Macaca fascicularis: one gene and its partners. The protein of the gene in region 2 purifies or fractionates together with the protein of the main gene of each other region. This does not show direct contact. Links are inferred from orthologs where the notes say so. Each region holds a gene or a part of one and is shown on either strand. Other genes may lie near its edges.

What was found.
Region 1: the proteins of CDH5 (region 2) and CTNNA1 purify together in Homo sapiens (affinity purification with western blotting; 4 studies listed by BioGRID and IntAct, counting the BioPlex papers as one, with this or other methods). This does not show direct contact. The link is inferred for Macaca fascicularis from reciprocal best matches to the Homo sapiens genes CDH5 and CTNNA1.
Region 3: the proteins of CDH5 (region 2) and JUP purify together in Homo sapiens (affinity purification with western blotting; 3 studies listed by BioGRID and IntAct, with this or other methods). This does not show direct contact. The link is inferred for Macaca fascicularis from reciprocal best matches to the Homo sapiens genes CDH5 and JUP.
Region 4: the proteins of CDH5 (region 2) and CTNND1 purify together in Homo sapiens (affinity purification with western blotting; 3 studies listed by BioGRID and IntAct, counting the BioPlex papers as one, with this or other methods). This does not show direct contact. The link is inferred for Macaca fascicularis from reciprocal best matches to the Homo sapiens genes CDH5 and CTNND1.
Region 5: the proteins of CDH5 (region 2) and CTNNB1 purify together in Homo sapiens (affinity purification with western blotting; 11 studies listed by BioGRID and IntAct, counting the BioPlex papers as one, with this or other methods). This does not show direct contact. The link is inferred for Macaca fascicularis from reciprocal best matches to the Homo sapiens genes CDH5 and CTNNB1.

Annotation. Positions count from the first base shown.
Region 1 is NC_088380.1:145,427,807-145,433,618, forward strand, and holds part of CTNNA1 (catenin alpha-1), read left to right. Parts: intron 1-1,512; exon of another isoform or gene 1,513-1,677; coding exon 1,678-1,788; exon of another isoform or gene 1,789-2,717; intron 2,718-2,877; coding exon 2,878-3,059; intron 3,060-3,226; coding exon 3,227-3,332; intron 3,333-4,926; coding exon 4,927-5,061; intron 5,062-5,812. UniProt on the Homo sapiens protein: Associates with the cytoplasmic domain of a variety of cadherins. The association of catenins to cadherins produces a complex which is linked to the actin filament network, and which seems to be of primary importance for cadherins cell-adhesion properties.
Region 2 is NC_088394.1:62,398,905-62,404,936, reverse strand, and holds part of CDH5 (cadherin-5), read right to left. Parts: intron 2,417-6,032; coding exon 2,274-2,416; intron 503-2,273; coding exon 378-502; intron 38-377; coding exon 1-37. UniProt on the Homo sapiens protein: Cadherins are calcium-dependent cell adhesion proteins. They preferentially interact with themselves in a homophilic manner in connecting cells; cadherins may thus contribute to the sorting of heterogeneous cell types.
Region 3 is NC_088390.1:62,819,183-62,825,781, reverse strand, and holds the start of JUP (junction plakoglobin), read left to right. Parts: upstream 1-2,432; 5' UTR 2,433-2,640; intron 2,641-4,715; exon of another isoform or gene 4,716-4,749; intron 4,750-6,599. UniProt on the Homo sapiens protein: Common junctional plaque protein. The membrane-associated plaques are architectural elements in an important strategic position to influence the arrangement and function of both the cytoskeleton and the cells within the tissue.
Region 4 is NC_088388.1:15,799,865-15,805,896, reverse strand, and holds part of CTNND1 (catenin delta-1), read left to right. Parts: intron 1-4,692; coding exon 4,693-5,156; intron 5,157-6,032. UniProt on the Homo sapiens protein: Key regulator of cell-cell adhesion that associates with and regulates the cell adhesion properties of both C-, E- and N-cadherins, being critical for their surface stability.
Region 5 is NC_088376.1:104,043,337-104,050,137, forward strand, and holds the start of CTNNB1 (catenin beta-1), read left to right. Parts: upstream 1-2,477; 5' UTR 2,478-2,643; intron 2,644-3,093; exon of another isoform or gene 3,094-3,360; intron 3,361-5,239; exon of another isoform or gene 5,240-5,379; intron 5,380-6,801. UniProt on the Homo sapiens protein: Key downstream component of the canonical Wnt signaling pathway.

The DNA of each region.
Region 1 (5,812 bases), on a different chromosome or scaffold from region 2:
CTCTGCTTTCTTTATACACTGGCCACTTTTGATGTGTCATATAATTCATTTGCTTACTTTGTTGCCATTTCTTCCATTAGAATAGGCATGAGAGGAATTTTTATCTGTCTGTCACTTTGTATCTCTAGGGCCCAGAATGCTTGGCAGAGAGAGAATGAATGAATGAATGAATGAATGAGAGTACTCGGTTTTCTTGGCAAGAACGGTTCTTGGGTCTGCGATGGGGTCCTGGGAAGGCAGAGATGATGTTAGGAGGTGGTCCTTTGAAAAGCCCCTTAACTGATTGCATGCCAGTCCCGAAGGCATGTGTGACTGCAGTGTTAAAACCGTCAGTGCTGGCATTGTGTTTTGTGTCACCAAGTCCGTCGGCCTCCAGGACCTCACGCGGACATGCTGTCTGGTGCCACCTGAGTGAGCATCCACTCCTTACCTCATCAAGGGACAGGCCCAGCCTTTGCGCAGCACGCTCTTGGTGGCTCCGGAATGTTTCTTGCATATCTTCTTGTTTGAACCTCACAGCAAGTCCTTGGGCTGCGCTTGGACTAGATCCTGGTACAGATGAGGGACTCGCCTCACTGCCCTCCTGTCACAGGCCAGCCGGCTGGGCCGAGCGCCAACCCCAGCTGTTCTGCCTGCTGCCCCCTTACTGATAACTGCCAGAGGACAACATTATGTTTCAAGTCAGTAGCTAATCATGAGAGGCTGGTAGTTGGTACAAAATAAGAATTTTATTTCATAATTAAAGCAAAGAGCTAGGACGAGTAATCAGTCCCTTGGGTATTTACTCAGCCCTTACCTGTCATATTCTCCCTTCTTTTCTTTTGATGAAAGTCAAAAGAATACTTTAAAATTGCCTATTTTTACTCCTCCAAGCAGCCTTGGTACCCTAACAGAAGGCTCAGTTATTTAATTTTCTTTTTGTCATAAAGTAGGAAAGTTAAACAAATCTGCTTAATACTATACAAAACACCTCTATTTTTAAGTCAGTACCTTTTCTATCCAGGACAGTTCTCATCTTTGTCTTTAAAATACAGGTGTTGGGGAAGTAAATTAGGAAGTAAAAACCTTATGTCGCCGGGCACGGTGGTTCACGCCTGTAATCCCACCCAGCATTTTGGGAGCCCAAGGCAGGGGTGGATCACCTGAGGTCAGAAGTTCAAGAGCAGCCTGGCCAGCATGGTGGAATCCCGTCTCTACTAAAAATACAAAAATTAGCCGGACGTGGTGGCGTGTTGCCTCTAATCCCAGCCACTCGGAGGCTGAGGCAGGTGAATCACTTGAACCCGGGAGATGGAGGTTGCATTGATTCCAAGATCACGCCACTGCACTCCAGCCTGGGTGACAGAGCGAGACTCTGTCTCAAAGGAAAAAAAACAACCTTATGTCTTATAAAGAAATAGTGAATTGACTCAGTGATAGCCATTGAGCCCCACACACAGTGAAGCCAGCGCAGGCCTGCTGTGGGCCAGGCAGCCCAGCGCGTGCAGCAGTGAAGCAGAGGCTCGAGACAAATGCTGAGTGATTGTGACTTTATTCATCATACTGTTCAGAACACTGCACATTAAAATCCAGAATTCTGGGCCTCCGTGCACCTGGCCAAGAGGCTCAGGGTGGCTGGGGGCTGGTGGCCTGTGACCCAGAGATGTGTCTGACTTGTGATCTCTGTCTTGGTGGCAGACCCCTGAGGAGTTGGATGACTCTGACTTTGAGACAGAAGATTTCGATGTCAGAAGTAGGACAAGCGTCCAGACAGAAGACGATCAGCTGATAGCTGGCCAGAGTGCCCGGGTAAGGAAGCGCTCTGTGGGGCAGTTCAGCTTGTGCTGCCACCTTCCCTGTCCCCTTTCTTGTTTCCAGGAAAACACCCTCAGTATTCAGAACACCATTTCTCTCTCTCTGGCAGTAGACTGAAGTTAAACTAAGTTGTGGCACCTGCTAGTCACTTGTAGCCTCCTCAGCTAGAGACAGACCAGGTCCTGGGCCTCCTCTGCAGTGCCCTGGGGCTTTGGTTTACGATAGAGCCCTGGGTCAGGAAAGGGCTGAAATTTAGTCAATGCAGTGTTTGTTGAAAGGATCGTGAAATTTGAAAAAGATTGCTGCCTTTAGCCATCTCAGTGATGCCATGGGTATGAACTATTTAATTATTCATGGGTTTAAAAAAATAACAGTGGTACATTCAAGAAAGCCAGTCAGAGCCATTGCATTCATTTGAGTCATTAAATCTTCAATCAATAGCATTTATGTTTTGGGGAGGATGCCAAGAAATATTTCTAAGGAGTCTTTGATTTCACTCCTTGGAAATCTGTCATGAACAGCGAGCACATCGCTGCCTTATGTCCTGCTCCGTCATGAGCACTTTGGGAAGCTGAGAGGGAGGAGCTTCAGCCGCAGGTCTGTGGGCTGGAGGTGGGCAGCAGGCCTCCAGGTGCTGCTCGAGTATGGCCTTAGTGCTCAGCCCTCTTTCTTCAGGTGTACATTCTGAAGCCACTTTCAGTTCACCTTGAATAGCTGGAAATGTCCACCAGGGAAAGGGTTCCACACTTTCATCAACCCTTTCTCTCATTTCTTGTCTTATATTAAAGAATTAAAAAGCAGGTTCTGTCCCTGCACAGTTGTGATTCCAAAGCTTCCGCATTAGCCTTCCACCCCTCGCTGTTTGCTTCCACACTAAAACTTGTGCTCGAAAGTGGGTCGGAAATTCAGGCTGCTGTAAGTGTCTGCAAAAAATGAGAGAAATAGCCCTTTAGGCAAAATGAAATCTGTTAAAGCATTATCCTACCTATGCCATAGATTGCCTGTTGGAAATATTCTTGGCTAATGCACTCTGAGAACTTCATATTCTTTTTATGTAAGAGCTCTTTGTGCTTCTGATCACAGGCGATCATGGCTCAGCTTCCCCAGGAGCAAAAAGCGAAGATTGCGGAACAGGTGGCCAGCTTCCAGGAAGAAAAGAGCAAGCTGGATGCTGAAGTGTCCAAATGGGATGACAGTGGCAATGACATCATTGTGCTGGCCAAGCAGATGTGCATGATTATGATGGAGATGACTGACTTCACCCGGTGAGCAGCACCCTGGCCCCACCAGGCTGCACAGGGGCCACTTTCTTTAGGTCACCTGCACAGCGGCTTAGACAGCCCAGGCCATGGGGCTTTGTGGACATCTGTTTTCTACTCATCTCCAACTGTGAGGGGCTTCGCATACAATGATCCTTGTTCTCTCTTCTCAGAGGTAAAGGACCACTCAAAAATACGTCAGATGTCATCAGTGCTGCCAAGAAAATTGCTGAGGCAGGATCCAGGATGGACAGGCTTGGCCGCACCATCGCAAATCACGTAAGTGACAGACCTGCCAGGTGGGTCTCCAAGCTCCTTCTGGGACTCAGGCAGCCCAGCCTGGTCCATTCAGGGTAAGTTTCATGGGCCACAGCACTTTTGCCACCCATCTCTAAAAATGGTTCTTATTAATCCCAGCATAGATTCGTAAGGATTCTCTAGAGCAGATGTGGATGTCCTGGAATCTTCCGTCACTTGTAGCCAAATTAACCTCTGCTGTTGTCTATTATGTCTCAGTTCCCTCTCTGGGCAGGGGCTGAGGGCAGCCAGAAGCCATGTGGCCAGTGCTGTGGAAGGATGGTGTGCCCAGATGGGGCCAGGTTTCTTCATCCTCAGCACTGTGGCTCTTAGTCACCCTGCCGTCATCCCCCTATTCCCTCACACTGTGATAGGTACAAAAATATGGTTCATATCACCTGGAAATGTACAATATGTTTGATTTGGTGTTTTAAGCCTGATCAAGAGAGGCTCTTTCTCAGTTATAGTTTTTCTCTGTAGTTAACAAACCTCCCCACCATCTTCCCTGAAATATCAAAACTCTCAGCCTCATCTAGGCCACAGGATGTGTGAGACGTCCCTCTTTACTCAAGCCAAAGATTGTAAAGGCATCCTTGACTCCCACACAATCGGTAATAGGGCCTATTGCTTCCATTAGCCAAATGTATCTCAACACAAACCAGTCTTGTCCTGTCTGCAGAGCTCCATAGCCACTTGGACTACTGCGGCTACTCCTGATTTCCTATTCTTTCCTCTCTCCACTTCCTTCTGCATCCAGCTGCCAATACTGTCATCTGAAAATGCAAATCACATGGCTGCCCTGCTTCCATGACTACTTAGAATACAGCTCATCTCCAGTATGGTCTGCAGGGTTTCAGTTCATACCACTCTCTGTGGTGTACTTTGCTTGCTATGAACACTTAAGAGGTGCTCTGTTTCTTCCTTTGGGTAAAGCTTTCTAGGCTGGTCCTAATCTGGGAGCCTCTAAAACCCTGAGATATGGGGGGAGACAGGAACTGGGCAGGGGCCACCCTTTTCTCTTTGACCATCCCTGACTGCTTTTTTTCTTGCTTTCTTTACTCATTTATCCTCCACCTCAGCCTGCAGTGAGTGGCTTTTGTCATCAGGCCTTAATAACGCAAAGTGCATCGGAGCAGAAGAGCTATTTGTTTACTTAGCTCAAAACATCTGGACTTTTCTCCATAGCCAGGCTCCTACTTGCTGAGCCGGCTTGTTCTCACCTTGAGGGGCACAGGCCTCCACCCTGCCATGTGGGGTGAGGGGATCCTTGGCCAGAGTGGTTTCCCTGCTGTCACAGAAGGGAAGTCAGCGGGAGGCTCAGAAGGCCTTGGCTGTACAACCAGTGCCGTGCGGCACAGCCAGGGTCCCATGAACGACTTCCATCAGATCACCTGCCTCCATCCCCAAGCAGAGTGTAGGCAAGGGCTGTGACTGCCTCAGGTAATTGGGTGATTTTGCTCCAGCAAGAGGACAGGAAGCATGTGAGTGCCACCCTGAACCTTTAAGAAACACCCATGGGGTGGGAGGTGCTTGGTCCAGGCCAGGGTGCTCGGTGCTAAGCGTGCTCTCCCTTCAGTGCCCGGACTCGGCTTGCAAGCAGGACCTGCTGGCCTACCTGCAACGCATCGCCCTCTACTGCCACCAGCTCAACATCTGCAGCAAGGTCAAGGCCGAGGTGCAGAATCTCGGCGGGGAGCTCGTTGTCTCTGGGGTAAGCATTAGCTGAGAAAAAAGAGGGCCAGTGGGAACGTGCTGACCCTTGTCAGAAATGAAAGTCACTTCCTATCCACATACACACCTGCCCTGGGAAAGTGTGCTGAGCAGAAACCCCAAGTCCTGTCCCAGCCTCCGGAGACCAAGGTCTGTCCATCATCTGTTCCCTGTAGAACTGTGACACGTGTGGGCCACTGCAAGGGCTGAAAGGCTGGCCTCCTCCCCTTTGCTGGCCACTCACTGGGAACAAATTTTTAAAAATCTTCCTTGGGACCGGGCGTGGTGGCAGGTGCTTGTAAGTCCCAGCTACTTGGGAGGCTGAGACACAAGAATTGCTTAAGCCTGGGAGACAGAGGTTGCAGTGAGCCGAGATGGCACCACTGCACTCCAGTCTGGGTGACAGGGCAAGACTCTGTCTCAAAATAAAACAAAACTTCCTTTTCTTCCCCCAGAGAGGAATTAAGAGTAGACATAGATAGGATGCTTTCTCGAAAGCCCTTCACCCCTCAGAGCGCTTGGGTAGCATCTCTTTTATCAGGTCACAGTTCTGAGGCCTTTCTCACCTAGGGCAGGGGAAAGAGGTTTGCTGAGTGGACTGGGGTCCAGCGAGCCTCCGTGGCTTCTTTTAATCCCATTAAATTTCCTTTAAAAGAAACACTTCTTATATTGAACATATTGAGACCATTTGCTCATCTGCTTTGCCATAAACGTCCCTGTCTCGATTCCTGCTTCTCCTCCCCCACGTACTT
Region 2 (6,032 bases):
TTATGTCCTTGTCTATTGCGGAGATCTGCAGGACCAGCTGGGGTGTGGAAGACAGGAGATAGTCAGTGATGGTGGTGGGGTGGTCTGAGGTTTAGCGATGGAGCCCTTGGGTTTAGACCTGACCATGGCTGTTTCCCACCTGCAACACTCACCTATTTAGTTCTTCATAAAGCCACTCTTTCTACTCCCCTGCCCTGCCAATATACTCCCCATACATTCTCTCTGAGCCTCAGTTTCTCTACCTGTACAATGGGCATAATGTTATTTTCCTCAAGGCTATTGTACAGGGGAACTCTTGCTGACTCTGTTGAGCAGTTCTGCCCCTCAGCCTGCCCCAGGGTGGTGCTGCCTTCCCCTCCCACCTGAACCAGACTCACCTGGCCATGGGCAGCATTCTCACACACTTTGGGCTGGTAGGGCTGGGCAAACTCCGGGGCATTGTCATTCTCATCCAAAACTTCAATGTGGACTTGCACAATGGATTCTTTTCCTGTGGGGGTTCCTGCAGGGGAGAAGACTGTCACCATTATGGGCTCAGCTGATGCTGGCCCTGGGGGTGGAAGATGTGTGGAAGGAGGGCTGCCCTATGGAGGCCACTTTTTGTAGGAGGAGAATGTGGAACAGAGGCCCGGGATGGTGTTCCGGAAGAAAGGAGTTTGGTGGAGGGGGAGGTGTTAAATCTTCATCCATAAGGTTTACTGAGGTATTACTTTGATTATGAGAATCAAAAAGGTAAACCACCTAAGTGCATTAAAAATATTGTAATTAAATTTCTAAAATTAAAAATTTAATTATTTGATTAAATATCTAAAACCTAATAAATTAATCATAAAAGAATTGAAAAGGTAAACAACCTAAGGAAGATTGGTCAGTAAATTAGGCCACTGGAAAAGAATGAAATATATGGCCACTGACAATGCCTATGTAAATTACATCTTAAAAATATAATTAAAAAAATTTTAAGGCCAGGTGCTGTGACTCATCCCTGTAATTTCACACTTTGAGAGGCCCAGAAGGGAGGATTGCTTGAGGCCCAGAGTTGGAGACAAGCCTGGGAAACATGGTGAGACCCCATCTCTACAAAAAACTAAGACATTTCCTGGGTGAGGTGGTGCATGCCTGTAGTCCCAGCTACTCAGGAGGCTGAGTGGGAAGGATCATTTGAACTCAGGAATTAGAGACTGCAGTGAGCTGTGATTGTGCCACTGCACTTCATCCTGGGTAACAGAGTGAGACCCTGTCTCTCCCTTAAAAAAAAAATTAGCACCATGAGAAAGTGGTTCTGGAATAAGGTTAAGTAAAAATGCGGAATATATTATCTTACACAAACATTACAATCTCATGTAAGTATAAAAATATGTATAGAAAAAACAAAAATACAAGAATGTGCTAACAGTAACTGTCTCTGCATGGTGGCATTGGTGGGAGGAGTATTTTCTTCTCTTTTTCTGTATTTTCCACATTTTAAACTATTGAAGTATAAAGATTCTATTAATGGGATTATGTGGAGGAGAAAGAAGCAAAGACTGATCTGGCCAAACATGCAGGAGTCCATTACAGTTTGGGGCAGCAGCTGTGTTGGCAGAAGTGAGTCTGGGTGGGCCTGGCAGGCTCCAGGGATCCTTGGCCTAGTGGGCTCCTGGGTAAAGTGGAGTATTAATAATTCTCCTGGAGGGTGATTGTGATTTTCTCATATAGATAAAGGATGCAAAACTCCAACTCTTGCCCCTCCCTCTGGCAAAAATTACCCAATTTCTGGAGAACCTCACAATCTCAAAGTTGGAAGCTGCTTCACATTTTGAATTCTACCTATTAACTGGTGCATAAACACCCTCTGAGGGAACATTTCCCAAACAGCCATGATACTAAGAATCATGGGACCCTTGTTAAATCCACATCTCTGGCTCACTGGACCAGAACCTGCAGGGTGGAGTAGAGCTTTATGCTTAATAGGTGCCTTGGGTGATTCTCGTCACAGACACATCTGCACAGCCCATTTCATGACAGTGCTTTTCAAACTGTGACATGCATGAGATTCTGATTCAGTGTGGGGGTGAGGCTTGAGATGCACTTCCAACAAGGTCTCAGGAGATGTTGATACTGCTGGTTCAAGGACCACACTTAGGCATGGAAGCTCTATAGCATCCCAACCAGCGGGTGCTTCAGCAGGCACTTCTAATACCCCTTGAGACCCCAAATGATTGATTATGCCAGTTGGAAGAATGAAGGAAAAGGAAAAGAACCCAGGTGCCCTGGCAGATGCGGCCACTCACCAGTGGAATCCAGTTCTTTGGCCTCCACAGTCAGGTTATACCAGGGGTAGACTTCTCTGTCCAGTTCTTTCTCATTGTAAATGTCTCCCTTTTTTGTGACTCGGAAGAACTGGCCCTTGTCACTGGTCCTGCGGATGGAGTATCTGCCCAGGGGAGAGAGTTTCATGGCTTTCTAGTGTTCTTTGCTGAGTCTACACTCCTCAGCATGATGGACAAGGCCCTTCTGCATCTGTCCCCTGCATCCCACTTCATGCCCCTCTGTCACTGCTCATTGCACTCTGATACTCAGACAAGAGTGGACCTACACAGAGAGATTCAGGATAACAAGATAATATCTTTGATCTTAGTTACATTGCCATCACTGGACTGAAGGTGGTACCTGAGACCATCAGATGCATGTTCAGAGCTGAACAGGTGACATCACACCATAGCTGGGACTTGTTTTAGTGATGAATGAAAAGATCATTGGGCAAGAGCCAGGGAGGAATACAAAAAGAGCTGGAAGAAATATGAAGTAATTACAAAGAAATTAACTTTGTGAAATAAAAAATTTAAAAAGTTATTTCAGAAATCAGGAAAAATCTATTGAAAGATTATGTTTCGTGTATATAGGAATAATAGTTGCTACCAATGAGGAAACTCCCAGAACAAACAGAGCAGAAGAAATAACAAAAAAAAAAAAAAAAAAAAAAAAAAAAAAAAAAGAAAAGAAAAGAAAAGAAAACTTTCCTGATCTGAAGAAAGTTTTGAGCCTACAGATTATAAGGTGTCATTGACATCAGGCATCATTGAAAAAAAAAACCCAATATTTAGGCATATCCTGATGACACGTACGAATTTCAAGGCTGTCTGAAGAAATTGAAAAGAGTCCAGACAGAAAGAAATAATTTCCTTATGAAGAAAGAAAAATCAGATTTGCCTCAGATGCCCCCACAAAATTAAATACTAGAATACATTGACAGTATTTTTGAAGGGAACTGTTTATAATCTGAGGATTATATGAATGCATCTAGGTGTTATTAGAAGGCAAGGTTGGGCGTGGTGGCTCACACCTATAATTTGAATGCTTTGGGAGGGGCTGAAGCTGGAGGTTTGCTTGAGGCCAGGAGTTCAAGACCAGCCCAGGTGATAGAGTGAGACCCTGTCTCACCAAAAAAAAAAACAAAACAAAACAAAACAAAACCCACAAAAAAAAAACAAACAAAAAACACACAAAAACATTAGCCTGGTGTGGTGGTGTGTGCCTGTAGTCCCAGATACTCAGAGGCCGAGGTGGGAGGGTTGCTTGAGCCTAGATGTTCAAGGCTGTAGTGAGCTATGGTTGTGCCACTGCACTCCAGCCTGGGTGACAGAGGAAGAACCTGTCCCCGCCATCCAAAAAAAGGCAAAGAACTAAGATATTTGTGTCCTGAATTCTTTTTTGAAAACTTACTGTATCTAACTAAACATCTCAATATAAGGTAAACACCTGGTATGGGAAGAATTAAAACAAACTATTGATTTGTTTATCATACATAGAAAAGCAATGGGTGTGTGTGTATGTATAATAGTTTTAACTGGAAAATATAGGTCCAAGGAAACATTTTAAATTTTGCAGATGGAAGTAAATCTCACTGGTAGAAATAAAAATGGAAGCACCTCATCCAAATACCTAGGAGAAAAAAAAAAATAAAGAAACATAGACTGTATAGCAAAGCTGGGGAAAAAGAAAAAAGCCATTAAGTTTGATAAATGAGAAATGTAAAACAAGATAAAAGCAGTAAGATCAAACATATCAATCATGATGAAAAATGTAAATAGGTTAAACACGAAGCATTTCAGTTTAGATTAAAAAGCAAAGCCAAATGCATTCTTGTTTTCAAGAGACAACTTAATGCCAAATGACCTGAAAAAGTTAAAAGTAAAAGTTGGAAAATTTGCATTAGGCGAATATGAATAACATGAAAACAGGACTAACAAATGTAACATCAGGAAACAGAATTAAAGGCAAAATATTTAAGCAGAACAAATTGGCCAATTACATTCGGATAAAAGTTACAAGCCATAATGAAGGTAAAATAGTTGCCAGCCTTTGTTAACTGAGTGGAAAAATTAAAATACATAAAGTCAAAACTTAGATATTCTAGGAAGAAGTGGACACAAATACAATTGTATCACATCACAGAACAAGCTAAAGCAAAACCAAAAAAATACCCTATGACTTATAAATGAAAATAAAGAAACCAAGTCAATCTCTTAAATAAACTCTTGGATCAAAGGAGAAACAAAAATTATAATTACAGGCTATTTAGAATAGAATGGCCATGAAAAGAGTAGTCCTAAAACTTAGGAGATGAGGCCAAAATGTAAGAACATATTTTGTCCTTAATAAGAAGACTTAATACCCTTGAAAGATTAGCTATACCAAAATTAATATATAAACACTAATGTTTATAATATACAAACATTAGAATTCTAATGTTTTAAAAAAACCTGGCTACAAAATTTTAAATTTCACAAAAGAAAAAATGAGAGTTGACAAAAAATTATGTCAAATAAAAAAGCAACAAGGGAACAACTTTTATGTATATCTAAGGTCTAGTGTAAAGCTATATGGTTTGGATCTATGTCCCCCCCACCGAATCTCATGTCGAAATGTAATTCCCAGTGTTGGAGGTGGGCCCTGGTAGGAAGTGGATAGATGGGGCAGAGTTCTCATGAATGGATTAGCACCATCCCCTAGGTTCTGTTCTCATGATAGTGAGTTATCATGAGATCAGGTTGTTGAAAAGTGTGTAACAACTCCCTTCCCACTCCTGTTCTGGCCATGTAAGACATGCCTACTTTCCCAGGATTGTAAGTTTCCTGAGGCCTCCCAAGAAGCAGAAGCCACTATACTTCCTGTATAGCCTGTGGAAATGTGAACCAATTAAACCTCTTTTCTTTATAAATTACCCAGTCTTAACTATTTCTTTATAGGAGAATGGACTTATACAAGCTAGTAGAATAAAATAGAATGGCTTTGCTATAGAACAATAGATAGGACAGAGAATTAGAAGTAGATTCAGGTATATACAGAGAACTTAGTATATAACAAAGGTGGGAAAATGATAACTTATTATTATAATATTTAGTAAATGGTGCTGGCAAAATCTGCTATTCATCTGCAATAAAATTAAATTTAATTGAATTTATACTTACTATTGCATATTATATGGCTCTAAAAAGTATCTGTTGGAACAATATCATTTTTTTTCTAAATATTGTAAAAGAGAAATTTAGTTAAGATAGAAGAGCAAATATCGATGAAATGAGCATGACATGATCCAAAAAAAATTTAAAACAATCAAACACCAAAAGCAAACAGACAACAACAAACCCACCACAAATGCATCCATATATTTGTGTGGTCATGAAAAGAAAGGAGCAATAGGACCAGGTCAGGCCACGAACATGAGTTATCTGACAGTGGGGGTTATCAATGTTTTCTTGGTAGATCTTTGTGTTGTTTCACCGTATGAAATGAACACTTCTTACTTTTGTGGTTTGGGGGAGATAGATTCAAGAATACAGTTTTAATGTCTCTGGTGTGTCATCTGATTGGTTGCTCTCTTGACTGTCAGATCTTACCACATAGGACTGGTGAGAGCTGTGGTGCAGAGAACAAGCCTTCAAGGCGGGACAGAGGACAAGTAGCTCTGGATGCCCAGGACCATGCTAGGTGGGGGAGCCTGCGCAGGTCAAGATGCCAGGCTGCCAAGTGCAAGAGGTTGGGCTTCT
Region 3 (6,599 bases), on a different chromosome or scaffold from region 2:
TTGGGGAAACAGGCAAAGGGCAGTGGCCCTGGTTATGGGATGGCCAATAGTTCAGGGGTGTCCGTATCTCCCTGGCCCTGCTTTTGGATGGTGCAACTTCAGAAGGGAGAATGTTCAGCTACCATTCCTTTCTCCGGTGGGGAAAGTGGTCAAGGACGCTGCTAAGGTACCTTCATCCAGCCCCTCCTGTGTGCTAGCTTTGGAGCTGTAGTGCTTTGTTGCCAGGGGACCTTTTTCTAAACCACCACTCCCCCAACACCCACCCACACAGGCTGCTTCTGCTTATCCTTCTATGATCTCTTTGAAGGTTGGGATCATTTTTATATTCTGTGTCACCAGATTTTATTTTCTGTGTTCACCAGTGCCTAACATAGAGTTGACACTGAATACTCAAGTGCTGAATGAAGGAATGTTTGTAGGGTCCTTGGCACACCATACAACCACGACCAGCATTCATGTCATCAACCACAGAAAGGAAGTGCCCTTGTCTTCTTAAGCTGCCTGTGAAAAGTTCTTTTTATGTTTTTGAGACAGAGTCTCACTCCGTCGCCCAGGCTGGAGTGCAATGGCATGATCTCAGCTCACTCCGCCTCCCAGGTTCAAGTGATTCTTCTGCCTCAGCCTCCTGAGTAGCTGGGATTACAGGTGCCCGCTGCCATGCCGGCTATTTTTTGTAGTTTTAGTAGAGACGGGGTTTCACCATGTTGGCCAGTCCGGTCTCAAACTCCCAACCTCAGGTGATCCGCCTGCCTCAGCCTCTCAAAGTGTTGGGATTACAGGCGCCCACCACCATGCCTGGCTAATTTTTGTATTTTTAGTAGAGACGAGGTTTCACCATGTTGGCCAGACTGGTCTTGAACTCCTGACCTCAAGTGATCTGCCCACCTTGGCCTCCCAAAGTGCTGGGATTACAGGCATAAGCCACCACACCTGGCCGAGAAGTTCTTTCTGATCTCTACCCCAGGCTCTCCTATCGTGGAGGGATGTGCTACCCAGTTTCTTTTTTTCTTTTTCTTTTTGTTTGAGATGGAGTCTCACTCTGTCACGCTGAGGCCGGAGTGCAGTGACATGATCTCAGCTCACTGCAACCTCCGCCTCCCGGGTTCAAGCAATTCTCCTGCCTCAGTCTCCCAAGCAGCTGGGATTATAGTTGCCCGCCACCACGCCCAGCTAATTTTTTGTATTTTTAGTAGATATGGAGTTTCACCATATTGGCCAGGCTGGTGTTGATCTCCCGACCTCAGGTTATCCACCCACCTTGGCCTGCCCCGTTTCTTTCATGCCTGGGTTTCTTTCAGATCTGCTGCTTGATGTTTCCAAGCCCATCAAAGCCTCCTGACACCAATACTGTATTTTTGTGCCAATTAATTGTTCTGTCTCTCCTCCCAGTGTTTGTGCCTTTTCTCTGCCCCTTCCCCCATTGCCTTGACATTTTATGTCTATGCATTTTATGTTCCATGAAGGGAACAGCTGGTTCGATGGTCCTTCAAATGAGAAGGAGGTTCTAGCTTGGGGTGTGCCACTTTGTAGTTTTGTGACTTATCTGAACCTCGGTTTCTTCATCTTTACAATGAGGGTCGTTTTCTCATCTTAACTATTTTTTCAGAGCTGTCACAATAATTAAAACAAAAATATCATTAATTTAAATTCTAACCTTTAGCAGTTTCCGAGTGCTTTCACAAACCTGACTTCATTTAATCCCCACATACTCCAGAGAGGTAGATACGGCTAATGTATCCAGTTTACAGATGAGGAGAAACAGGGTGAAGTAACTTGTCTAAGATCATACTAAGTGGGAGAACACAAACCCTGGTCTTCTAATTCTAAATCCCAGGAGTACTCCATCTTTGGGGGGAAAAAATCCCAACCCAGCACAAAGCCTATGAAATGCTATACAAATATGTGATTACTACTTTGGGGCAAGGATGAATAAGCCCAAAGAAGCATCATGCTTGACGCTGAGTTGGCTGGCCGGTGAAGGCGTCTGTCCCTTCCCTTAGTATCCCCTGACTTACCTGTTGGACAGGTAGGGGGAAGGGGAGAGTAATGAGTCTCACCTGCTCAGAGCAAGGGTGGGGCAAGACACACCCCATCCCTTCCATTGGTTTTTTCCTTAGTCTTACTGACAGCCCCTTGTCCAATCAGGAGGAAGTAACTTTCTATCTGCCAATAGGTGCAGTGTTAGGATGAGACCTCAAGTTAGAGTCCATCCCTAGAGCCGACTGGCAGTCCCTGGGGCCAATGGCAAGCGGATAAACAGAGGCGGCCGTGGAAGAGGACTGGAGGTGAGGCTCCGCCCCTCGACGGGACAGTCAGGCGAGACAGCCAGTGAGCTCGCACCAGAGGGTGGGCGTCTCCCCCAGGGGCGGAGCTTCGAGGTGGCGAGGGGCGTGGCTTGGCTGTCAGGTCTCTTTGCCTTTTGTTCGGTTACTGAGTTGCTGCCTTGGCCAGAGTCCGGAGCAGCCGCCGCCCGACCACGCCGAGCTCAGTTAGCTGCCTGCGCCGGCTCCCACCCCGGCCCGACCCCGACCCGGCCCGGCCAGGCCCCATACTAAGGTGCGGGCGATCGGGAGCAGGTATCGCTGGGGAGAGAAGGGGTGGCGAGCGCCCGCGAGGCCGGTCCCTGCCGTCTCTGGGCAGGTGAGGGCGGGTGCCATGGAGCGCCACCCTGCACCGGCGGCAGGGGGCGCGCTGGGGTCCTGGGCGCGGCGACCTGGGGGTCGCGCGGTTTGGGCAGAGCGCGCCTGGGAGCTCCGCGAGCCAGAGATCTGAGCAGGGCGGGAGGGATCCGGACAGGTGCCTCCGGAGTCGTGCCTCCCCCGGGGCCCGCGCCCCTCGCCCGACGCCGCGTCCCTGACTCTCGCCCTGAGCTGGTGGGGGAGACTTTGCCCTGCTTTGACTGCGTCCCAGGGCTCACGCTGCAGTCAGGAATTTACCGTTTGGGAAACTTGCTGCCGCTGGTCTCTGGGGCCACTCTCACCCCACCCCACGCGTCATCCTCGCTTTCCCTCCCTCCCTACTCCCCCAGGCCTGGGTGGGGCCCTATTGTCTGCGCCCAGCTTGCCCAACTGTGGGGGCCGAGCACACATTTTCCTAGCGACGCTGGCCCCACCTGCCGAGCAGGTGAGCGCACGGAGTCCAGAGGCCCTGCCCTCCAACTCCCAGAGCCTCGTCCATACTACCTGCGGCGCCTCCCTCCACTCCGGTGGGAGCCGGGCTCTGGCTTCTTCAGCGGAGGTGGGATGGAGTGACAGTGGTGGGTGCAGGGCTCGACCCAGTGTCCAGCTGGTGTGTCTGGCATCCGTGGCTCGCCCTGGAGTCTGGGGGGTGGGGTCTGTGCACGGATGAAGAATTCAGGGTCACCTGGCCCAGTTTCCAGTAGCTGTGGCTGCTAGAGTGTTGGTAGGGGAACAGGACCCGTCTTCTTCTCTAACCTCTTATTGTTGGAAAAATCACCCAAAACAAACTTTGCAGGAGGAAGTATTCACAGCAGCTTGATCTGGGGGTTTTCCTGTCTCCTTGCCCAAAACTTCCTTTAGGCTTAGGGGGTCCTTCTTGGTGCAAAGCCCCTTCCCCTAGCCGGCCCCTGGCTGAACCTGGGCGGGTGCCTGCGCTCCGACCCTGTCTTCCCTGCCCCCACCTTCATCCTCTTCGCTGGGCCCCAGGGGCCTGAGGTGGGGGCCGGGGTGGGGGGTGGAAAGTGCTGAGAGGGGAAGCAGCTTCTTCCTTCTCTTCCTGCCTCCGGGGACCACCACACCCCCTCAGACGAGGCCTGCGTAAGCGGCTCTCTCTCTCAAGCTCTGCCCCCTCCCCAGGAATGGGGGTGGGGCAGGGCTGGGCCAAACTGAGGAAGGTGGGGGGAGTGGTTGTTCTTGTCTTTTTTTTTTCTCTACCCCATCCCCCACATTACTTAGCTGGCTGGTAATTGAGGCAAAAGAGCATGAGGCTGTGGGACTTGCCTTCCATTTGATTTCTGAATTATGAAGGTGCATGCTTTCTGGAGGCCTGCACAGACCTTTCCCACCCCCTTTCCTGAAAGAATTTGACAGGGAAAGTGAGACCGGAGGAAGGCTTTTTGGGGGAAGGTTTCTTCAGTGCTAGACTCCCTCAGGCAGAGCTGCATCGGGCCCCTGCCTTCCCTGCTCCCAATTTCCTGAGACCCCCCCACCCTCCGGAATTGGGAATCTTGACCAGGCTTTCTACCCCGGTTTAAAAAACAATCTGAAGTGTGGTCTTTTTGCAGGATTTGGAGCCCAGCCTCCTTGGGGAACAGAGAGAGAATACCACAGTTGGGTTCTCTCTCAGTCCTAGGGGTGGGAGAAAGATTGCGGGGAGCGGGGATGGAGAGTGCTTGGAGGGGGAGAGTCTACCACCTCTTTCTTTGTTGTAGATGGGGGAGTGAGGCTGGGGGCCCAGACTCAGCCCCTTTATCCTGGGTGGGGATCACGCTCAGCCCGGGGCTAGGGGGAAGTCAGTGTGGGAACTCAGATCCTTTTCTGCTGGAGGAGGGGGGCGGTGCACCTCTGGGGCGCAACAGGAGCACGGAGTTTGGGCAAAAATAACCTGCTTTCCCTCTTCTCCCTGCCAAGGTGGAGGAGGGGAGGGCATTGTAATTATGTTGGCTAAATGATTAGTTTAGCTAATCTGGTTTGTGGCTGTGATGAAAAGATAATACTGAGGAAGTACTACTAGGAGGTGCCTGGTGAAAACTGGCCACTGACTGGACTGGGGGACGCGGAGGAGGAGAAGGTAGGACCCAATTAGTCATTTCTTGCTAGATCAAGCCCCAGCTTGGGTGACTTGAGCCCTCCCACCCCCACTCCACCCCTCCCTTGCACCCTGGCTCCACTCCATTCCCTCTGGAACCTCTGGGCTGCCAGGGCTGAGGCTTTGAGAATGCAGTGTATAGGAACGAAAAAGGTCGGGCTAGGGCTGCCAACCTTCTTCCCTTCCTGGAGCCACCTTAGAATGAGATCGGTCAATTGACTAGTCTACAGAAGGACTGTTTGTTTGGAGAGATGGGACAGTGGGGCAGTTCTGAGCACAGGGCTTTGGGCTTGAACTGAGCTGGGTTTGAGAACCAGCTCTGTCTCTCATTACATTGCCTGAGTCTCAGTGACTTCTTTGGCAAAATGGGAATACAACACCTATCTACCCGGTAAGTACTTGACAAATGGTAACTCAAGATCAAGGTCAGACTTTACAGAAACCAAGCACTTTCTTTTTTTTTTGTTTTTTTTTTGAGGTGGAGTCTCGCTCTGTCACCTAGGCTCACTGCAGCCTCCGCCTCCTAGGTTCAAGCGATTCTCCTGCCTCAGCCTCCTGAGTAGCTGGGATTACAGGTGCATGCCACCACGCCCGGCTAATTTTTGTATTTTTAGTAGAGATGGGGTTTCACCATGTTGCGCAGGCTGGTCTTGATCTACTGACCTTGTGATTCGCCTGCCTCGGCCTCCCAAAGTGCTGGGATTACAGGCGTAAGCCACCTCACCTGGCCCAAACCAAGCACTTTCATTAACTATTCTTACTTAATCCTTATGGCTGAACAGGCTGGATGGCTCAAACCTGTAATCCCAGCACATTAGGAGGCCCACAAGGGCGGATTGCTTGATTGAGCCCAGGAATTCCAGACCAGTCTGGGCAACATGGTGAAACCCTGTCTCTACAAAAAATAGAAAAATTAGCCGGGCATGGTGGTGCATGCCTATGGTCCCAGCTACTGGAAGGGTTGAGGTGGGAGGATTACCTGAGCCCAGGGAGGTCAAGGCTGCAGTGAGCTGTGTCACTGTATTCCAGCCTGGGCAACAGAGTGAGTCCCTGACTCAAAAAAAAAAAAAAAAAAAAAAAAAAAGCGGGTATCATTTTCCCCATTCTACAGATGAGGAAATTGAAACTCAAGGAACTTAAGTAATTTCCCCAAGGTTGTACAGCGAGACCCAAGCAGCACCAAGACTGGCGTTTTGGTCCTCTGATTCCAAGCCCAGAACCCATCCTGCTGTATTGCCCCATACAGCTCTGGAAACGATTTTTTTTTTTGAGATGGAGTCTCGCTCTGCCACCCAGGCTGGAGTGCAGTGGCATGATCTCTGCTCACTGCAACCTCCACCTCCTGGGTTCAAGCGATCCTTCTCTTTCAGCCTCCCGAGTAGCTGGGATTACAGGTATGTACCACCACACCGGGCTAATTTTTGTATTTTTAGTGGAGATGGGGTTTCACCATGTTGGCCAGGATGGTCTCGAACTCCTGACCTCAGGAGATCCGCCCGCCTCAGCCTCCCAAAGCGCTGGGATTACAGGTGTGAGTGGAAAGGATTTTTCTGCACCCCCTTTCGAGAGCCTCTGCCTGATTGGGGAGAGGATAATTCAGACGGGCCCATAAAGGTATGCGTGAGTGGTGAATGCAGGGCAGGTTTGGTAGGTGAGGGTGATACCTGTCCTGGCCACCAGCCCTCTGAAATCTCCCCAGTGGCTTGATTTTTAGTTTCCGGTAGAGGAGGCTTCTCCCCAAGCCAGGGCTGCGTGGTGGGTGTTGGGGAAAGGTTGAGAGGAAAAGAGGAGGCAGGGGTCAAAGCTGTGCTGCCTCCTAGCTTGAGTTAGGT
Region 4 (6,032 bases), on a different chromosome or scaffold from region 2:
CAACTTCTAAGAGCTTTTTGGGATCAGAGATACTTGTGGCCTCCTCCCCTCTGCTTTTTTTTGGGGTGAAAGGCTACCCCATTTTTCCCTTTTCTGACTTGGCTTAGTATTGACTTGCTATATATATAAAATATAAATGTATATCTGTATAATATAACTATATATATAATTTTTTAAATGAAAATAATATATTCTAATTTTATTTTTTATTTTTTATTTTTTTTTTTGAGACGGAGTCTCGCTCAGTCGCCCAGGCTGGAGTGCAGTGGCGCGTTCTCGGCTCACTGCAAGCTCCGCCTCCCGGGTTCACGCCATTCTCCTGCCTCAGCCTCCCAAGTAGCTGGGACTACAGGCGCCCACCGCCACGCCCGGCTAATTTTTTTTTGCATTTTTATTAGAGATGGGGTTTCACCGTGTTAGCCAGGATGGTCTCTATCTCCTGACCTCGTGATCCACCCGCCTCAGCCTCCCAAAGTGCTGGGATTACAGGTGTGAGCCACCGCGCCCGGACTTCTAATTTTATTTTTTAGAGACAGAGTCTTCCTCTTTCACCCAGGCTGGAGTGCAGTGGCGCCATCTTGGCTCACTGCCACCTCCACTTCCTGGGTTCAAGTGTTTCTCGTGTCTCAGTCTCCCTAGTTGCTGGGACTACAGGCAAGCACCATGACGCTCGGCTAACTTTTATATTTTTAGTAGAGATGCGGTTTCACCTTGTTGGCCAGGCTGGTCTCAAACTCCTGACCTCTGGTGATCCACCCGCCTTGGCCTCCAGAAGTGCTGGGATTACAGGCGTGAGCCACCACGCCTGGTCCACAAGTTGTTTTCTATAATTTGAATATATGGGCCAGGCACAGTGGCTCATGCCTGTAATCCCAGCGCTTTTGGAGACCTAGGTAGGTGGCTCACCTGAGGTCTGGAGTTCGAGACCAGCCTGACCAACATGGAGAAATCCCGTCTTTACTAAAAATACAAAATTAGCTGAGCATGGTGACACATGCCTGCAATCCCAGCTACTCAGGAGGCTGAGGCAGGAGAATCATGTAAACCCGGGAGGTGGAGGTTGTGGTGAGCCAAGATCGTGCCATTGCACTCCGGCCTGGGCAACAAGAGCGAAACTCCATCTCAAAAAAAAAAGAAAACAACTTGTGATTGTTATTAGTCTGTGTCCTGAAGACTGAATTTTGCTTCTGCTTCTATGCTCAAGTTTTTGCTGTTTCTGGCTAAGATGTGACCCCTTTTTGGTGTTAGGCAGAGGATTCTGATGTCTGGGGCCATGGAATTCTTGCTCACTTCTTCTTGGGAATTTCTTTAGCTTCTGGTTTGGTATTAAGAACAGAGTCAGTCGGGCATGGTGGTTCACACCTGTAATCCCAGCACTTTTGGAGGCTGAGGCGGGCAGATCACGAGGTCAGGAGATCAAGATCATCCTGGCTAACATAGTGAAACCCTGTCTCTACTAAAAATACAAAAATTAGCCGGGTGTGGTGGCTCGTGCCTGCAGTCCCAGCTACTCAGGAGGCTGAGGCAGGAGAATCACTTGAACCCGGGAGGCAGAGGCTGCAGTGAGCCAAGATGCCGCCACTGCACTCCAGCCTGGGCAACAGAGTGAGACTGTCTCAAAACAAAACAAAACAGAGTTGAAGGTTTTAGGAATACAGGACCAAAAGAGACAGTTAAGGATATATATAAGAACTTTCTTGTGGTGTTTTTAATCCCAAAGTTAAAAACAAACTTTGACCTCACAAGGGCCTTGACATTCTGTGCTTAGGGTCTTATTATTTGATTGTAAAGTGAAATTGTGGTGGCATCCTTGAGTGGGGGTTGGGGGGTACATTAGCAACACTCTGAAAGGTCACTAAGCAGCTGCCTACTCTGACTTTACTACTTGTCCCTGGAGATTTCTTTGGTGATGTGAAAAAAGGGAGTGATTGATGTTTGGACTGGTATATGGTTTGCCTTGTTGCCTTGAGAGAATGCTTTAAGGGGAAAGGACCATGTAGAACTATTTTAGGCTTTGCAGGCCATGTATCATCTTTGTCATATGTTGTTGTTCTTTTTTTCAAACAATCTTTTAAAAATATAAAAAGCATTCTGGGGGTGTACAAAAACAGGTTTGGCCCATGGGCTGCCAATGCTGCTTCAGAATAAATTAGAAACAGTGTTTTCCACACAAAGAGAAATGATAAGAAACAAGGGATGATTTATGGTTGTCTTGATGGTAAGGATATCCTAGCAGCTGTTGCTGAATTTCTCTATATGGGGTCATGACCTTTTAAAGCAAATGCCTTGGTGCTAATTTTCTTCATATATTAGGTAGCTTTGGTTAAGAGTGAACAGGGCTGGGCCCAGGGGTAGAGGCCCCATTATCTAAGACTGAGTCACTCACCTTTCAGGTGTCTTGGATAGCTAATCCAACTCCCATGTGAGTCATTTTTATTCCTCCAGGAGCACCAGACCTCGGCTGGTGCAACCTAGAACAGTGGTAGATAACAGCCATCATTGAAGCAGTCTGTCCAGGGTGTTGGCTCTACTGCAAGTCTGCTTTTTCTGACTTCCTCATTAGTAAAGAGTGATTGGACCCAGATGGGTGTGGGTGGCCAGGTCATTCTCTGCCGTCCCTAGTTGTGCTAGTTCACATAGAGTTTTGGGCCGTTCTTGGGTTTGTTCCAGGGTAGCAATGGACTTGGAAACCTGCTTGACTAGCAAGAATATTTGCTGCTTCCTGTTCCAGGCTAGAAGAGTAATACGAGGTCAAACTTAAACAGTGAGGCAGTGATTAGTGGAAAAAGCACTGAACCCTGAGACCTTGGTTCTAGTTGTGCCTTTGCCACTAGCTAAGTAGCCTCAAGCAAGTCATTTGGTCTTCCTGGGCACAGCTTTGTTACTTGTAAAACAGAGGAAAGAATGCCCAATCCACTGCCTCTATATAGAAAAAGATATAAGATAGAGTTATTTGGAAATTTTGGTTATGGTAATTGTTCTTATAATTTTGTATATTAATAATAGAGGTTAAGCATGTTCAATACGGAGCCTGAAAAACCCAGAAAAGCATACCATCTATTAATAAAGAACCACTGTTAACATTTTGGTGCATATCCTTTGAGGTTTTTTTATTGTACATGTAACTGTATCCTATTTTCCCTCTACAAAAAGGAAATCTTAACATACTGCTCAATAGCCTACTTTTAAAACTTAGCTATCTAAGCTATTCATTTTGTTTCTGTGTTTGTTTGTTTGTTTGTTTTTTGAGATGGAGTCTTGCTCTGTTGCCCAGGCTGGAGTGCAGTGGTGCGATCTCAGCTCACTGCAACCTCCACCTCCTGGGTTCAAGTGATTCTCCTGCCTCAGCCTCCCAAGTAGCTGGGATTACAGGTGCCCACCACCACGCCCAGCTAATTTTTATATTTTTAGTAGAGATACGGTTTTGCCATGTTGGCTATGCTGGTCTTGAACTTCTGACCTCAGGTAATCCGCCCACCTCAGCCTCCCAAAGTGCTGGGATTACAGATGTGAGCCACCACGCCTGGTCCTGTTTCCGTGTTATTTTAAGACCATCTTGGTCATGTTTTACTAAATACTTTGTCCATCTGAATCACTGTTGCATAGTTGATGTTGATACCTGTGAGGCAGCCCTTCTGCTCAGGGCAACTTTGAGTATTTGGTGACAGTGGGAGTGGTTTTGTAGAACAAACAACGGCTTATTTGGAGAGCTCCACACAATAGATTCTCCTCTCCTGTGGGAGCCAGAAGAGATGAGCTCACAGATAATGGGTTTCTTTCTTCCTGGTAGTTATGAATAAATAATAGTGTGACAGACTCACCCTCTAGTGGTTGTTGGTAGTACTGAAACAGGAAGAATTGTCTCCTGGTTTGATTTTTCTTACTTTCAATTGCTTTCTCTGTTCCTAGTGGCTGGGCTTCCCAAATGTGATGTTGGTGAATAGGCTCAATTTTGAAAGAACTGGAGGTACTGTCTTTAGAAATTGGAGGATGGAATCTTACCGCTAACACATTTGTTGAGTAGCAGACATGACCTTGGGATGACTGTGAAAATTACTTTTCAAGTTTATACCTCATCAGTACCAAACCCAGATCCTCCTATAATGTAGCAGGAAGCCCTTTATTAGTTTTTCTCTATCAATCCATCTTTTATAATTTCCAAAATAGGATAAGGAGAAGCTTAAATATGAAATGCATTTAAAGGTCTTAACCCGCCAGTTGTTTCCTGTGTGTAAATGCCTAATTTCCTGTTTGGTTAAGGAACTGTTCTCAGACTTCTGTGGCATTGAGTCAGTTGCTTTGGTTAATTCTGCTTTTTGAGAGTTTATCCTGATCTCTACCTAGAAAAGTTAATAGCTGTCAGGTATCATTCAAGTAAATGATAAATAATAAGGATTTGGTTCTTTCTTTTTGATTAGCCTCTCCTGAATGCTTGTTACTTTCTAACCCTGCAGACTTCAAAGAAAAAAGTGTAGTTTTAATTAAATTGTAGGTGCCTTTAAGATTATTACCTTTTATTTTTCCTAACCCATTGAGGAAAATTGATCAGTATATTATTCATGCAAAGGAGAGAGAAGATGAGCACACTGAAACTCCAGTTAATCCTGCTTTGCAGATGAGGGTAATGGGAATGTCCAGGAAGCTAGCCATAATGACTTGATGTATTCTCTTGGTTATTCCAAAACTTCTCAGGAGCTACGAAGACATGATTGGTGAGGAGGTGCCATCGGATCAATACTATTGGGCTCCTTTGGCCCAGCATGAGCGAGGAAGTTTAGCAAGCTTGGATAGCCTGCGCAAAGGAGGGCCCCCACCTCCTAATTGGAGACAGCCAGAGCTGCCAGAGGTGATCGCCATGCTTGGATTCCGCTTGGATGCTGTCAAGTCCAATGCAGCTGCATACCTGCAACACTTATGCTACCGCAATGACAAGGTGAAGACTGACGTGCGGAAGCTCAAGGGCATCCCAGTACTGGTGGGATTGTTAGACCATCCCAAAAAGGAAGTGCACCTTGGAGCCTGTGGAGCTCTCAAGAATATCTCTTTTGGACGTGACCAGGATAACAAGATTGCCATAAAAAACTGTGATGGTGTGCCTGCCCTTGTGCGATTGCTCCGAAAGGCTCGTGATATGGACCTTACTGAAGTCATTACCGGTGAGTTCTAGGCCTAAGGAAAATTGCTAAGTCACTGTTACTCTCTAGTGATGTTAAGAACTAGAGGGATTTCCAGACCTTTTACTTTTGATGAAAGGTTGTGAACTGGTGGCCTTGGGTCAAATCCATCTCACAGATTTGTTTGGATCACACAGCATTTTTGAAATTTTAAAGAACTGGTTGCTGATGTTTAAAATTCAGAAGATTTCACTTAAAATTCCAGATTCTTGGCTTCTATTAAAAATGTGGAAAAGTTGTTAACAATGGATCTCTTTTCTTTTCTAGCAGTATTTGGTCTGAACTGATTGGAGCATGTGTTCTCTAATTTACACTAATCTCCAACACATTCTATTATCTGACCAACTACAGCCGTTTAGGATGTTGTTTCCCAAACATGGAGCTGTCAACTGCTATTTTTTCACATGCTTGTAATTTCTTTTAAATATCTTCCTCTCTTGACTCACCTGCTTGGCCCATATAGACATTTAAGCTTGTGGTCCTTGCTTTATTTAGAGCAGTAGTTTTTCAGATTGTGGGTTGTGATCTATTTGTGTGATCCATTAGTGAATAAAACACAATTTTGTGGAGCATAATCAGCATTCCAAGGGAAAGGAATAAAGAAAAAGTAATATAGACCATTGCTTCTCAGTTGTGGGCCATTTTGCCTGTCCTGCCCTGAGGACATTTGGACATTTGTAGTGTTGGAGATGTTTTTGGTTGTTATAACTTAGAACAGGGGAGAGGGAGTGCTACTGGCATCTAGTGAGTAAAGGCTAGGTATACTGCTAAACATCCAGCAATAGACAAGACAGCTCCTCATAGCAAAGAATTATCTGGCTCAAAATGTCAGTAGTGCTGAGGTTGAAAAACTCTGGT
Region 5 (6,801 bases), on a different chromosome or scaffold from region 2:
TTAATTTATGTCAAACCCAGGGTGACTGGCTCTAGAAGGAAAAGGCATAAAACAGATAACCAACTGTTTTTATGAAATGTATTGTCCAAAGTCAATTTAAAAAAATTATTTTACAAAATTACTTATTTTACCACACTCAGGTATTTTGATAATGTATTTTTCTTTGATTTAATGATAGTGTTTGTCTTCATTACATAGAAGTTATTCATCTCCTATTTTTGATGAGACAACTAGAACAATTTCTGCTTTATGAAACATGCAAATAAAAATTAGGAGCTATGTTAAATTTAACTTGCTTTAATGCTAGTCAACCAGTAATTCTTCAGTACACTTAATATGATGGGAAAAACAGCAAGCTGCGCTGTTGCAAATTTTACATTTTCTTTAATAATATGTATTTGTTTATGGTGCCAATTGGGATTAAAAATCATAATTCTAAATTTAAAGTATTTAAATTATAGAAAAATGATTCCATTATTTTGATAATGGAACAGAGAAATACAAATACAGAAATGTTTTTATCCTTTAGATCTTCTAATGGTGCAGATATTTCTTAACCAATTTCAAGAGTGCCTTATTCAACAACAAAAAAGCTGCACATAGAAAAAGCAAACATGTTTAAAAAAAAAAAGGCCCTGTAAAAGTGGTTAATTTGTCGTCTGATTTTTAATATATGACTTTAATCAACTGCATATTCCTTAATTCTCCAAATGACCATTAAAATTAGGAATCAGTACCTAAAAACGCCATTTATACTTTTGAGTTTGTATTAGAAACATGGCTTTGATGAAATGCCTTTTTCGGTTCCTTTTTTTTTTTGAATTGTGACCACAACCAATAGCTATACTTAATTCTACAGAATTAGTAGGAAAGATACAAATGAGAAGGTCTTTCTAGACAATGGATCTCATTGAACATCATCTTACTGTGTACACTTTTTCCACTGCAGTGGCCCACATGTGCTATGGTGACAGACAGCAGTTGGCATTACCACTTACATAGTAAAATATCTTTAAGACAAAAATAAGTTATTTAAAGAATATGCTGGCCCTGAAACATGAGCTATGCTTAAACTACACATCCCACCTCCATGAGTGAATGAATAAATGGGTTTTCTGCCTGCATCTATGTATTAAGACCTATTGTTTGCTTGTATTAATTGTAGTCCTGGGATAAAAGCATAGAGGTAACTTTCACTGTTGCTTTTTGTACTCTCTCCAATGTTTTGGAGGAAAAATAAGCACAAACAATAGGCTAGAGAAAGTGAATCGATCATAATTGTTGCAGCTTTGACAAGCGTCTATTTTGCTGGATTACAATGGGAAACATTTTTCAGTTTATTGAAATGAATTACAAAATGCTTTTAAATAGAAAATTAGTTTAAAAAATTAGAGGCTGCCTAATCGATAGCTTTCTCTATAAACATACTTGTATTTCTCAAATAAGTAATACCGTAAAAATCTTTTTCTTCAAAGAAAAATCCCCACAAATAAATCTATTGATACCTAGTGACAAGTGGAACCAGATAAAAATGGAATCTATAAGAATTAACCTAATTGACAGCGCTCTGGAGCTAATCCATTTCCATTAGTTATTTGTTCACAGTAGGTACTCATAAGGACTTGTTGAATTGAGGGCTTGGCGCCCATTCTACGAAGAGTTTACAGCCTTCGTGAGTGGGGATAGAAGGCGGCTCGGCCCGCTTATTCAGGTTGAAATTTAAGCTGAACAGCCTGCTGAGAGGTGGGATCCACCATTCGGGCAGTGGGGGGCTTTGGGGGTGCTGTGAGACTGGTCTGCGACCCAGGTCCAGCAGCGAGTGTGCGGCACAGACCGCAAGGTCGGCGAAGCCCCCTAACCCGCGCCCGGTCAGAGAGCCCGCAGGCCGGCGACCGGGCAGCGGCGGCACCCGGCAGCGCCCAAAGCCGGGCGGGCGCTGACCCCGAGCCCCTACCGCCGCCCTGGCCCCGAACTTCCGCCCTCCCAGGACCTGTCCCGTCCACCCCGTGCGGTCCCCGAAGACTAGGGCCGAGGTGCCACCTTCCGCAGGCCGCGGGAAAGGCGCGCAGAGTCCTGCAGCTGCTCTCCCGGTTCGGGAAACGCGGGGGGCGGGGGTGACGGGCTTGGGACAGGGGAGGATACCGGGGCCACGTTCCCCAACCCAGGCCGCGGGGGCCCGGCCTCCCCGACGCAGACCACGGCGCCCTCAAGAGTTGCCCTCAGGTCCCGCGCTGCGGGCAACCGCCAGCCGTCACCGCGGGGAGCGTCCGTAGCGTGCCCCAGCACCCCGCCCCGGCCCGGGGCGCTCAGACGGCGGCTGACTGCTGGGCGGCGCGGGGACTACTTTCCACCGCCCTGTCGCGCCCCGCCCCTTGTCCTCGCGCGGCGGAACGCTCCGCGCTCCGCGCTGCGTCGGCGGCGGCAGGATACGGCAGCTTTTGGGCGACTTATAAGAGCTCCTTGTGCGGCGCCATTTTAAGCCTCTTGGTCTGTGGCAGCCGTGTTGGCCCGGCCCCGAGAGCGGAGAGCGAGGGGAGGCGGAGACGGAGGAAGGTCCGAGGAGCAGCTTCAGTCCTCGCCGAGCCGCCACCGCAGGTCGAGGACGGTCGGACTCCCGCGACGGGAGGAGCCTGTTCCCCTGAGGTGCTTGGGCGCTCCTTTCCTTATCCTTCCGGGGCTGCTCCAGCTTCCTCTCGGAGCCAAACTTCGTCGTAGGCGCGCGGTCCGGGCGGCGGGCTGGGAGCCGGGCTGGGCGCAGCCGGGAGGCCTGGGGTTGGGAGTGGGGGGCTCAGGTAGGGGACGGTGGGGGCGGGCCGCGCCCGGGGCGCGGAGGGTGGCGGCCGGGCCCGGGTTCCGGTCGTGCTGCCTCTCGGGGGCCCCGGGGGCATCGCTTGCGGGGAGGGGGTGCCGCGGGGGCGCGTCCAGGAGCCCGGATGGCCGGCGGGGTGGGGGTGGGGGTCTGTGGTTTCCGTCCGGGGCTCTGGCCTTGGCCGAGTTTCGGGGAGGGACCCTGTGCCTTGGGATGCGCCGGGGCCGGGGTGGGGGGCGGGGTGGGGACGGGGGGCTCCGCCTTCTCAGCTCCTGCGGCGAGTTGGGGTTCGGGCGCTGAGGCAGGGACGCCACCCTAGGTCCCATCAGTCCTGGGGATCGGACCAGTGGACTTTCTCTTAAGATTTCTTCTTTCGTTCTTAAGAATAGAAGTGTTATTATTTTTTTTAATACCCTAGCTATGTGAGTTTGAATCGAAGCAACTTGAAACGTTAGAGTAACTAAACTCTTAGTGCAGCCGGTGCGATGCGTCAGTAGGGTGTGCACATGAAAAATCCATGTCTTGCACCTATATTTTAGTGTACTGTGCAGGTGAGTGAAAACAGTGGATAATGTACTGAGAGTCTTATGGATTTATGGTAGTGGGCATGAGACCCTGGTGAAATAAGAGGGTGGAGGAAGGCGAAGGTGATGGCTTACTGTTTTTTACCAAGTGAACTGCAGGATTCAGCCTCTGACTCAGAACGCTTCGAGAATTTTGTTCGTAGAAATAATTTAAATTTATTCAAAATTTAGTTTGATGGCAGCTAAAATTGGGTTTTAGAGGATGTTGTTTTTTCAGCGGAGTGAATTTTCCCTTCGCTCCAAAACTGGCCAAATGGAATTCAAGCACTGCAACTTCTTTGAGTGTTTTGTCTGGAGAGAGGACTTTGAACCGAGACTTTTCGAAGTTAAGTTCCTATAGCCTGCTTCTGAATCTGCCAAGCTTGAAAGCTTTGGCAGTTGGGTGTAGTTGTTGCCTTACGTTCTCTTCCCTTTTGGAGGGAGCATTGTCTCATACTTTGTATCTTCCAGACATCTGTGGTCTTCCCCCGTCCCCGGCCCCCCACCCCTCGAGTTTGTGAGTGGTGAATGAAGAGAGACTAGGCTGCTGGTATGCAGAGGTCGGCAAAAGGAAATCGAGGAGTGGTTTTAGTGAAATGGGAGCTTTGTATCTTGAATAATGGTGGCTTAGGCTAGACATCAACTTAAAGAGACGGCAGCATTTCCTTTCATAAAGTCTAGGCTAATGTTTTTCAGATCGCTAAGTTGTAGTTTGTCTGGAATTTAGGTAGCCATTTCAGTATTTGTCACATGGTGAACGAACATTCAGTACCTTCAGATGTCTTCGTATTGACTTGTATTCATCCTAAGAAATATTAAATATAGCCTCAAGTGTTATTTATGTTGTACCGCTGGTTTATCTCCTGCTTAAATTATTAACATACATTTCTACTTTGGAGGCTTTTCGTTTGAACTGAGGCTGTGCGACATTTATTTTACTTTTATATTTAGATCTTTGAAAATCTCTAATTAAAAAAAAAGTACCCTTCAGGGTTTGAGGATGTGCTTTCACACCAGACAAAATGTGGCTAATTTGCGCCCAATATTCATTACTTTGACCTAACCTTTGTTCTGAAGGCCATGTACAAGGACAAGGCCCTGAGATTATTGCAACAGTAACTTGAAAAACTTTCAGAAGTCTATTCTGTAGGATTAAAGGAATACTGAGACTATTCAAGTTTGAAGTCCTGGGGGTGGGGAAAAGTAAAAACCTGTGCTAGAAAGCTTAGTATAGCATGTAACTTTAGAGTCCTGTGGAGTCCTGAGTCTCCCACAGACCAGAACAGTCATTTAAAAGTTTTCGGGAAAAACCGACTTAAAAAAAAAAAAAAAAGGTGGCTAATAAAAAAATGAAGCATTTAACAGTGTTCAGGTTTCAGAGTATTGAAGAGGGTTTTTTTTAAACTGTTATCTGATTATTTCCTTTACTAACATGATATAGAAAAGTGTATTTCCAATATTAAAATTTATCAGACTGAGCTTACTGTTCCCGTTGATGACTGGAATAAAAATTGGCATAAGTGAAGGTCTGTATGCTTGTTTTCATAACACCACCACCAAGATAGAAAACGAGGAGACAAGTTTCTTCAAGGGTATTTTGAAATGTGTTAGCAAAACTCTTGCAGATACTCTTTTTTGTTATAGGATGAGGTGGGGAGAGGCGCATGCTAAGTATTGTTGAAACTAGGGATGTAGAGAATTAAAAGTTTGATATAATTATTTTGTAGTTATAAGTAGCAGTGAAATGAAATCTCCTGCAGTAGACTATGTAAGTATATTTAGCCAAATGAAACTTCAGTGTTATTAAAATGAAATAATACATCTGTCCTGTTATAAGATTATTTTTATTTCTCTTGTGGTTTCCTAGTTGCTGATAATCAATAATTGTAGATGAGTAGGTGGTAAGTTTTAAGTTTGTACTTTGAGCTTAGTCGGAAGCATGCTTGACTGCCAACCCAGGACACAAAGGATGAAGGCTTTTAGAACTGGACAAACTTCTAACAAAAGGTATTTGCAACTCTTTTGTAGTGTGTCATGTTGATTTGTGACATTGTTTTTGAAAATACTGTGTTGACTTAGTTTTGTTGTAGCCCTCTTTTTATTGAAACTGTGGTATCTATTGTTGAAACTGCTTGAGAACATTTTTATACCGTAAAAGTGAATAGTAAACATAGCCCAGGAGCTGCTTCTGGTTTGTCCATCGTATGTAGCCATTGCCTCCTTGTACCCTCATTGAGAAGATACTGATTTGCAGATTCAGTTGTCCTTCTTTAACAGACTATGTAATATTGCAGTTGTGATTGTGATAGGTAAGTGGGCCAATCGGTTAAAATAAATACATACTTCTCAGGTTTCACAAAAGGAATATAATATGATTTGTGTTGACTGAAATGAGTAGGAGTTAACTCCTATAGTTTTTCATCACTTAAACTCGGGGAAAGTTCTTTATTTCCTCTGTTTACTTAAGAATGCTGCTTTTGTGTTTCATGCAAGACTGAGCTTGACTCAGTTTGAAACCTAGGCTCATCTGTTGAGGCCTGAACCCTGCTGTCCTTGAGGTATGCATATAATTTGCTTTCTCCCTAAGGAAAAAGAAGCTCTTGAAAGATAAAGTCAATCACATTAGGAACCCGTTTTTAGGGTTTAGCCACTTTTTTTTTTTTTTTTTTTTTTTAACTTAGAGGCATCTCTTCTGTTAAGAGACATTCCCCAGTCTCAAAGTTTCCCTCAACTTTGTGAGTAGTGTTGGAGCATGTTTTCATTGCATGCTTGGGTCATGTTGAGTGCCCTCCAGTGGATATAGTATAATGCTTGTGATTTTTTTTTTTTTTTTAATTCCAAACAAGTTTATGTGGAATATATTTATGAATAGTTCTGATGAGGGAGAATCACCTAAGAAACCTTTGATTTTTGAAATCATATTACTGCTAATTAAAATACAGGCTTGAGAAAATGTCTTCTCAGCCAATATTTGCAGTAAAAAAGTTGGGAGGTTTTTTGAGGTCACTTTGAATAGGCAGTTCTGCTTAAATATATCGTAATGATAAACCAGAATCTCATTATAGTACTTTAGGAAGTAAAAGATCATGATGTTTAGCTATATTGATGAATTACAGCAACTGAAATTCTCAGAAAAAAATAATGAAGATGTGAATTGTCAGTTTATCTAAAATCAGTCACAGAGTAAAACATAAGTGCTCAACTTGATTATATTAGGAAATAGAAATGAAGGCAATTGAGCCAGTGTATGTGACCTAAAATATAATGCCCTTAGTTACCATAGGGTTGGTTTCATTTGTACGTAGTGGTGGGCCATGTTGAATTGTAAGTGTTTTGCCCTTTGAATTTTTTCTTAAAGAGCTTTCTCTAGGCTCCTATGTTAAAGTTCATGGTTTTTCTGTTAGTAATATTATTCTCTGAAAATCCATG